2 linked regions of the Oryzias latipes genome follow. The protein of the gene in region 2 interacts with the protein of the main gene of each other region in a biochemical or structural test. Links are inferred from orthologs where the notes say so. Each region holds a gene or a part of one and is shown on either strand. Other genes may lie near its edges. The genes, in order: mcmbp and mcm5.

What was found.
Region 1: the proteins of mcm5 (region 2) and mcmbp form a complex in vitro, tested with the Homo sapiens proteins (2 studies listed by BioGRID). The link is inferred for Oryzias latipes from reciprocal best matches to the Homo sapiens genes MCM5 and MCMBP.

Annotation. Positions count from the first base shown.
Region 1 is NC_019873.2:29,884,498-29,889,093, forward strand, and holds the start of mcmbp (mini-chromosome maintenance complex-binding protein), read right to left. Parts: upstream 2,865-4,596; 5' UTR 2,712-2,864; coding exon 2,654-2,711; intron 2,016-2,653; coding exon 1,924-2,015; intron 1,855-1,923; coding exon 1,714-1,854; intron 1,632-1,713; coding exon 1,590-1,631; intron 1,517-1,589; coding exon 1,427-1,516; intron 1,352-1,426; coding exon 1,228-1,351; intron 1,150-1,227; coding exon 1,004-1,149; intron 935-1,003; coding exon 837-934; intron 766-836; coding exon 593-765; intron 1-592. Other genes in the region: sec23ip (SEC23-interacting protein), read left to right, coding at 3,278-3,410, 3,970-4,478, 4,551-4,596. UniProt on the Homo sapiens protein: Associated component of the MCM complex that acts as a regulator of DNA replication.
Region 2 is NC_019866.2:21,037,808-21,042,280, reverse strand, and holds the start of mcm5 (DNA replication licensing factor MCM5), read right to left. Parts: upstream 2,885-4,473; 5' UTR 2,731-2,884; coding exon 2,558-2,730; intron 2,383-2,557; coding exon 2,256-2,382; intron 2,175-2,255; coding exon 2,046-2,174; intron 1,972-2,045; coding exon 1,799-1,971; intron 1,724-1,798; coding exon 1,568-1,723; intron 1,492-1,567; coding exon 1,322-1,491; intron 1,236-1,321; coding exon 1,064-1,235; intron 974-1,063; coding exon 862-973; intron 788-861; coding exon 644-787; intron 577-643; coding exon 511-576; intron 442-510; coding exon 265-441; intron 184-264; coding exon 71-183; intron 1-70. UniProt on the Homo sapiens protein: Acts as a component of the MCM2-7 complex (MCM complex) which is the replicative helicase essential for 'once per cell cycle' DNA replication initiation and elongation in eukaryotic cells.

The sequences.
Region 1 (4,596 bases), on a different chromosome or scaffold from region 2:
GGAGCAGGGGGGGCAGATGTATAGAGGTGGAGGAGGGGGGGCAGACGTGTAAGGAGGGTGGAGAGGAGGGGGCAGACGTGTAAGAGGTGGAGCGGGGGGGGCAGACGTGTAAGGAGGGTGGAGCGGGGGGGGGCAGACGTGTAAGGAGGTGGAGCAAGGGGGGCAGATGTGTAAGAGGTGGAGGGGGGGGGCAGACGTGTAAGGAGGGTGGAGCAGGGGGGGCAGATGTGTAAGGAGGGTGGAGCAGGTGGGGGCAGACGTGTAAGGAGGGTGGAGCAGGGGGGGCAGACGTGTAAGGAGGGTGGAGCAGGGGGGGGGGCAGACGTGTAAGGAGGGTGGAGCAGGGGGGGCAGATGTGTAAGAGGTGGAGCGGGGGGGGGGAGACGTGTAAGGAGGGTGGAGAAGGGGGGGGCAGACGTGTAAGGAGGGTGGAGCAGGGGGGGGGGCAGATGTCCTCCAGGTCAAACGTCTTGAGTTCCTGCGTGATGCTGATGAATTTCCACGGAAGCGACAGAATTTACTGGTTTTGGTGTTTCGGCGTTTTCTTCTAGTCTGGAATCATTTCTGTTTCTACAAAAACACGCGTCCTTACAGGCGCCGTTGTCGTCCGAGGTTGCGTGCGGCAGCAGCGGGTTGTTGTGTTGCAGCGGTTTGGCGTGGAGCACGTGAAGCCGGGGAACGAGCGAGGCCGGCGGGCTGTGCACACGCTGCTCCTCCGCCGTCTCCATGCCCTCCGTGGGGTCCAGGAAGGACGAGGAGGCGTCTCTGCGAGGAAGAAAGGCGGTGAGACGGGCAGCACGCAGACAGGGGGCGGGGCTACGAAGCGAGGGCCTCACCTCTCCTCCGCCAGGGCGCTGAGAGCGGGACTGACGGACAGGATCCCGAAAACCTCCAGGGCGTCGTTCAGCTTGAAGCTCTCCCAGTCTTCGTACACCTGCCAACGAGCACAGCCTGAGGATCAGGGTTCCCACCGGAGCCACCAACGCGCTCGTCCAGCTCCAACCTTCACCAGGCAGGCGGGGCCCCTCTCTCCTGGGAGGGGGAAGTTGAGGTCGAGGTGGGATGCGGACGCCGCCTGGGTGGGAGGAGCCTCCGTCTCTTGACGCTTACAGTCGGCGTTGCTCTGCAGGTCCGTTGGACCCTGAAGACCTGCAGAAATATTTGGAGAACGTTTGAGGGGGGAGGACGCCTAAGGTTCGACACCCAGCAGACGGCGAAGACAAACACCTGCGTGAGCTTGCTTCTGCGGCTGCGTGTCCATGTCCTCGTCCTCCTCGTAGCTGCGTTTCTGCCTGCTCGGCACGTAGGAGGTGGACGCCACCACGCGCGCCTGGCTGCTGCCCGCATATCCGTGCTCTCAGGTTAAGGAACAACACACAACTGTTCACACTGTCATCAGAGAACCTGATCCCTGATCCCAGGATATGTCCTTCACCCACAGGTTCTCCCCAGGAATGGGCACACAGTAGAAGGTCTGCCGCTCTGCCGTCACGGTGTTCTTGGAGTTAAAGTCCACCTGGGATTCAAACCAACAGCTGAGCTGAAGCGGCTGCACCACCTTTGAGGACAGCAGCAGGATGCAGACTCACCCCACATTCTGCCACATCCCTGTACTTCCCACAGTGCAGCATCTGGGGGTCAAACAGGACAAATGAGGGGGAGGGGGGTCAGCTGATGCTAGAGATGTGGGGGGGGGGGGGGGGGCACACTCACTTTAGCATCCGTGGGTCCGTCCACAGTCTCATACACTCCCATGTAGAACTCCGGGTCAAACATGTCCTGGATGAAGCAGCGAAACTTCACCAAACTGTTGGGCTTCAGGTAATGCAGGGGAACGTCGTTGAGAGACGGAACCTGGTCCAGAAAAGGACAAGGTCAGAACCGGACGGCCGGTGAAGACGCCGTCTGCAGGACTCTCCTCACCAAACTCTGAGCGCTCTTCTCCTTCAGCTGCTCCTTAAAAAACTCCACCACCTCCGCCTCCCACCCGGGGGAGGAACCCTTCTGCGCAGCCGCTGCAGCATCAAAGGAAGACGTCATTTCCGGCAGCAAATGAATGCTGCTGAAGGTTTAAACTACGGTTTGCATTTTATATTAACATGTGTGAATGTGTCATTTTATTCGATCGTTTAAAAAAAATGTTAAAATAACAAACACATTGGCATTAAAAATGAAATAAAGTAAATGTTTAATGAACTTCAAGATTGTTGGTTTCGTTCTTCATGAAGGAATTCGTCATCATCAGAGACTGTATATATGAAGTCACTTCAAAAGAACCAGTATGACAAAACAAAAACGTCTTTAGATCTAACAAAAAGTTGACGAACCCCGAACGACATTTCTACAGTCAGTAAAGGTTTCCGCGCGCCCGATTCTCGTCTATGTCCACCGACTGTGTCAATAAAGTTTTAAACTGATGCACCGCGGGCAGCGGCACCAGTGCGTCAGTTTCAGTGTCTTTGTGTGAAATGTAATAATAACCACCTGGTTTATTCCTTTCTTGTTGCTGTTTTGCATTGTTGTGTATTGAAATGTTACATTTAATAAAGTTTGTAAAGGAAAAAAAAAAAGCTCCATGTGAGGGCGGCTGGACGCGCGCGCGGCTAACGAGCTAGTCTGAGGCGTTAAGTGTTTGTGGAGGGAAGTTTCTCACCAAACTTCTCTTCAACAACACCGAGAGGTGCGTGAATCCAGTCCTGCGTGGAAAGCATCGCTAACCGGCCACTGAACCCGTGGAATCAAAGACAAACGTGCGAGGAAAACCCGCGCGGCTTCACTTCTCCGATAAGTTTTTCACTCACTCGGGATTGCAGAAGCGAGGCGCGAAATTTGCGTCACTGCGCACCAAGAGGGGGTTGGTTTGATTCGAGAACCGGAGTAAACCGGAGCGCGGAGCCACAAGCAACTTTTTGCTTTTGTTCACCGCCCTAAAAACTGGTTTGGATTCCGAAGTCGTTACAAATTAAGTAGAAATTTGTTATCTCTCACGAGATTTTACTTTGTTCTGACAAAAGAAGAAAAAAGGTGCAAAAAAAAAACCAAAGGAGTTTGAATCATCATCCGGGCCTCTAGATGGCAGCACCAAAAACATTGATCCCCTCGGGTCAAGCCAATCGGGTATGTTTCGAAGATTTATAAAACATCTGCTAAGATGTTTACTGAAATCTAGTGTCGCGTGAGTGTTGGAGATCGGGGAAAACTGTGACGTCAGGAGACGTTTCTTTCGCATTTACTGCCAGCCTGGTCCGGTTGTGGCTACGTGTAAATCCAGCTGAAAATGGCAGATAGAAAAAATAACAGTGGTCCCGACAGCAGCGCGAATTTACTCTTTAGTGCCGCTCCAGACTTTAGCTTTAACCTGCCTTTCATGCCGGTGAGTCAGGCGTCGGGCCCGGCGGTGCTGTCAGGAGGTGAGCGGAACCGCGGACGGAGGTCCGAATGTTGTCAGGGCGAGAGCTAGCTAGCTAAGCTAGCCGGTTAGCTAGCTGTGCTGCTTCAGCCTTTAAAAACCCTCAGATTGAGAGAAAAGATGAAAAAGTGACGCGTTTTATCTGCAACACTGGATCTGCTTTTGTTAAAAGAAAATGAGTCAGTTTAAACATTTTTAGTGAAGAGTTGTAAATGGATGAACTTTGTTCAGATTTAAAACAATGTTGTTGTTAAAATGCTGGAATCTGTCTTTTAGAGATTTATTTTATTTATATATTATACATGTATTTTAGTGAAGTCAACATGCTTATTGCCTGAAAACCACTCGATAACATCCTGTTTGATCGTTTCCACTTAGGAAAGGATCACACAGGATGTCATGGTGCTCATAAAAGTTTAGAATCATATGGAGAAAGCTGGAAATGTTGTGGACGGCGGTGAAGCTTCACTCCTGAAGTTTGATGTTTAGAGAAGCCTCACAGAAACCCTGACCTGCAGTTTCAGTGTCAGAAAACGTTGACCCGTCTTTGTGTCCATCAGAAGACTCTACTGACGTTGGAGAAGAAGACAGTTTCCTGGGTCAGACCTCGGCCAACGGTCCGCCGGCGGCCTCCTCCACCTTCAGCTACTTCTCCAACCCCGTAACGACCTCTGACCCCTTTGCCAGTATTGGTCAGTCACCATGCCCGCCAGCAGGACGCTCCTCGACCTTAACCGCTGCTGGACCCGTTTCTTTTCCCAGCAGCATCGCCATGTCTCCGCCATCCACAGCTTCACAAATGAACCCCCCTCCCTCAACGTTTGGCAGTGCTGTTTACCAGAGTCCGCTGGGACGACAGACTCCTCCCCCTACAACGATGACCCCGCCTCCTGCTCAGATGCAGCCGCAGCATCACAACCCGTACCGCCACACGGCGTCCAGCAGCAGAGCCAGTCCTTACATTCCAGCTCCAGAGATCCTGCCCCCACCTCACACACCCCAGCAGGCTCCGACCTCTTTCAGCCCCCCACCTCAGATGTTCTCCCCGCCAGGGTCCACGTTCCCCACGGTAAGTCCTGCTGGGAGTCGGTCTTCCTTTAGAACATTTAAAGCGTCTCATCACCTCAGTGTTCCTCTTCAGCCTCCTCCAGCAAACATCGCAGGACCTCCTCCTCCTCCTCCTGCCA
Region 2 (4,473 bases):
ACTCTTTACTCCACAAAATCCACAGGAAACTAAACTTTAAAGCGGTCTGGCTGCAGAATGAGTGACTCACGCTCTGGCGTAGGCGATGTATTTCTTAAAGGTGGCGAGAGGAATCTCGCCCTCGACTCCTTCCGTCTGCGTCTGCGCACTCAGGTGGACGTTCATCACGTGGCGAGCCAGCGTCTGCGAGCAGAGTCAGGCGGCAAAGTCAGCGGAAGCACTAAAGAGAATTGAAGCATCAAACCTCCCGTCGCGTCCTCTCACCATGTCTCGCTGCTGGTCGTGGTGGTCCTTGATGATGAAGATCATGTCGAAGCGGGACAGGATGGTGGGCATGAAGTCGATGTTGTCCTCGCCTTTGGTGTCGTCCCAGCGGCCATACACAGAGTTGGCCGCCGCCAGCACGGAGCAGCGGGAGTTCAGGGTGGTGGTGATTCCAGCCTAAAGGCCGCAGACTATTAGCATTTTTCCAATGAAGCCCAATAAGGAGGTCAAACTTAAGGCGGTTACCTTAGCGATGGAGATGGTCTGCTGCTCCATGGCCTCGTGGATCGCCACTCTGTCGTCTTCTCTCATCTGAGGAGAAAAACAGCCTGAAGGACGAGCAACCCCGATGCTGCCCCCCAGCTCACCCTGGACCTACCTTATCAAACTCATCAATGCAAACGACACCACCATCCGCCAGCACCATAGCCCCTCCCTCCATGATGAATCCACGAGTGCTGGGGTCTCTCAGCACGGAGGCGGTCAGCCCAGCTGCACTGCTGCCCTTACCTGATGTATAAACCTGCAAGTGAGAGTCAGCATCAGAACTTTTTTCCCTCCGGATAATTAAAAAAAAAAAAAAACACAAACAAATACCCCGATCGGTGAGCATCTCTCCACAAACTTAAGCAGCTGGGATTTGGCTGTTCCAGGGTCTCCAAGCATCAGCAGGTTGATGTCTCCTCTGCGCGTGAGACCGTCAGGTAACCTAACAGACACAAGAACAGACTCTTAGCTTCAAAACAACATCGTTGCAGCAGCAACAAAAATGAAGAAATAAACCGTTCTATCGCCGTACCTCTTTCTCGAGCCTCCAAACAGCAGACAGGTGATGGCCTTCTTCAGATCGTCGCTGCCATAGATGGAGGGAGCGAGGGACTGCGCCAGGGAGCTGTAGATGTTGGGAGAGGTAGACAACGCTCTCAGCTCTTCTTCCTCCTGTGCAGAGACGGGTCCGGTGGCGCCGCGGCCTGCAGCCAAGAAACAAGAAGATAAAATGACCCCCCAAACCTAACAATGTGCTTCTCACAACCAACCCTGTCATCGGGATCTTTACCTGCTCCTTCCGTGTCCACCTGGATGCCAACGACTCGCAGGTAAGATGAACGAATTCCCACGCCGATACCCTTTTCTTTGCCTTTGGCCTTTACAGCAGCCATTTTTTTGATAGAGTAGATGCCCATGATGGTCACTCGGTTGCCCGGGACCACGCGGTCACACAGGTACCTGGGGACGGAGGAAAACCTCAGTGGCGTGCCGCAAAAGCAACGGAGCAGCAGACTCCGGTGATCTCCATGGCTACCTGTCGCAGTAGAGCTGCAGGTGGCGCGGCATCTCTCCGTGCGGCACAGCATCGGGAGACTCCTGCAGGCGGAGCGTCTGGAAGTCCACGCACACGCAGCGGTCCGGGATGATGAAGTATGGATCCATGGGACACTTCACTCTGCCAGCATTCTCGCTGAAAACACAGAAGGTCGTTTTGAGGCTGAGTCGTCTAGCAGGGTCAACCTGAGACCGGAATGCGATTCCTCACCTGTTGCATTTTCTGGGCAGAGCGTAACCCTGCAGGCCCGGAGGCAGGGGGATGTTGGGGATGACGCTGCGGCAACCGCGGCACTGCAGGCACACCTTGGTGGCCTTCGCCTTGACTGCTGTGGCAGAAATGATGATGCCGTGGACCTTCACCAGACGGGACACTTGCTCCGACTGGAAAGACACACAGAAAGGTGATCCATGTGTGGAATGACTGCAACGTCGGGCACAGCAGGGTCCTAAGGTACCTTCAGGTTCCGGATGGATGTGTGGTGGGCATCGCTCTTCAACATGACCTGGATGTCCTGCACCGCCTCCTCCCCCACAGGTCGGGGTCGGGTCACCTCATCGGCCACCTCCTTAGCTGCTTCCTCCAGCTTAAGAGATACGTTTTATCTATACATTAGTCGTGAGTCAGACTTTCATGACCGCATAAAAATGTGAACTAGGATACTCACCAACGGCAGGTTCTCAGTAGGAAGTTTGTAAAGGCAGTCAGACAGATCTTCATCAAAGCTGGCAAGATCCTCCACCTCCACCTCCAACCAGAACTCCCCCAAAGTGTAATGTCGCTTCAGCTCATCTCTGCGGAACAACAGGAGACAATCAGGACTTTTGAGCTTCTAAAGCAGATGTTTTAATCATATAACTACATTTCCCATAATGCAACTGCCTCGTGATATAGCACCACTTCACTTATCGTTTACTTTGAAAGTAGATGCAGATTTGAGAACCGCTTTGAGTTCATAAGGAGCCTGACCTGTATTTGTAAGTGAACCCGGTTTGGTCAGTTCCCTCTCTGAACTGACGCAGGAACTCTCGGAACCGCTTCTTGATCTGGACCCGCTTCTGTCCACCTTCGTCCCCGCCGGGTCCCTCTCCCCCGCCGAAGCTGTCGCTGTAGTAAACGCCGGGGTCGTCAAAGCCAGACATGCTGAAGCGGCTGAAGCTGACACCAAAAGTTGTGCTTTTCTGGAGCCAAACAGACAGGAAGGACCCGACTTTGTGACGACGTTTCGCGGGAAAAACTGAAGCGTCTTCCTTTCTGTTTCCCGCGGGTTCTCTGCTAGTTCCGCCCCTTTCCTAGACTCTGATTGGTCAGGTTCAAACATAGCTTTTCTTTATTTGTCGAACATGTAGATATGGGCGAACTCTTCAGCTGAAGGCGGGGCGCTGAGTCGCGATGGCGCGAAAAACAGAAGAGGAGGAGCTTCTGAAGCATGGCGACAGCAGAAAAGCAAAATAACAAAGAAGGGCCACGAGCTTAGAGAAACCTAATGACACATTTTCTCCTAGATGTAGAATTTGAAGTGAGACAGTGAAACCCATGCAAGCACAGTTTATTTTGAGTTAATTAAAGCAACTTTTTCCACATAAAGTTACATTTTTATCAATGATAAGGCAACTTAAATGTGAAATGTGTTAACCTAATAGGAAAACATTACAGCTGCTGATGGATGACGCTTCAGCCTTCTAGCACCTCTTTTGTCTTTGTTCTGCTTCAAAATAAGATCTGAATATGTTCAGTGGGGCAAAAAAGTATTTAGTCAGCCTTGTGCAAGTTCTCCCACTGGAGATGAGAGAGGCCTGTAATTTTCATCATAGGTATACATCAACTATGAGAGACAAAATGACATCTATGACTCCCCAGAAGATCTCCCCCGTGGGCTCCCCCGTGAGCAAAAATCCCAGAACCACATGAGGGACCTGGTGAATGACCTGCAGAGAGCTGGGGCCAAAGTAACAAAGGCTACCATCAAAAACACACTACAACGCCAGGGACTCAAACCCTGCAGTGCCAGACGTGTCCCTCTGATAAAGCCAGTACATGTGCAGGCCCATCCAAAGTTTGCTAGAGAGCATTTGGATGATCCAGAAGAGGATTGGGAGAATGTCCTATGTTCAGATGAAACCAAAATAGAACTTTTTGATAGAACTCTACTCGTCGGTTCGGAGGAGAAAGAATGCAGAGTTGCATCCAAAGAACACCATACCTACTCTAAAGCATGGGGGTGGAAACATGATGTTTGGGGCTGCTTTTCAGCAAAGGGACCAGGACGACAGATTTGTGTAAAGGAAAGAATGAATGGGGCCATGTATGGTCAGTCAAAGTGACCTTGGGCAAGACACTGAATCCCACCTTGCCTTTGGTGGGAGGTTGGTGCCAGTTTTCAGCAGCAGAGCCGCCACCAGTGTGTGAATGCGTGTGTGACTGGGTGAATGGGTCTGTGACTGTAAAGCGCTTTGGGCCTTGAAGAAGGTAGAAAAGGGCTATATAAGTATACGCCATTTACCATTTACCAATCCCAAACACACTGCCCGGGTAATGAAGGAACGGCTTTGTAAGAAACATTTCAAGGTCCTGGAGTGGTCTAGCCAGTCTCCAGGTCCCAACCCCATAAAAGTTCTTTGGAGAGAGTTGAAAGTCTGTGATGCCCAGCGACAGCTCCAAAACATCACTGCTCTAGAGGAGATCTGCATGGAGGAATGGGCCAAAACAACTGTAAAAGATTATGTAAACCCTGTGAAAGCTTACAGAAAATGTTTGACTGCTGTCATTGCCAACAAAGGGTAAATAAAGTACTGAGCTGAACTTTTGTTATTGACCAAATACTTATTTTTAACCATAATTTGCTAATTCATTCTACAAAAATGAGACAATGTGATTTTCTGGAT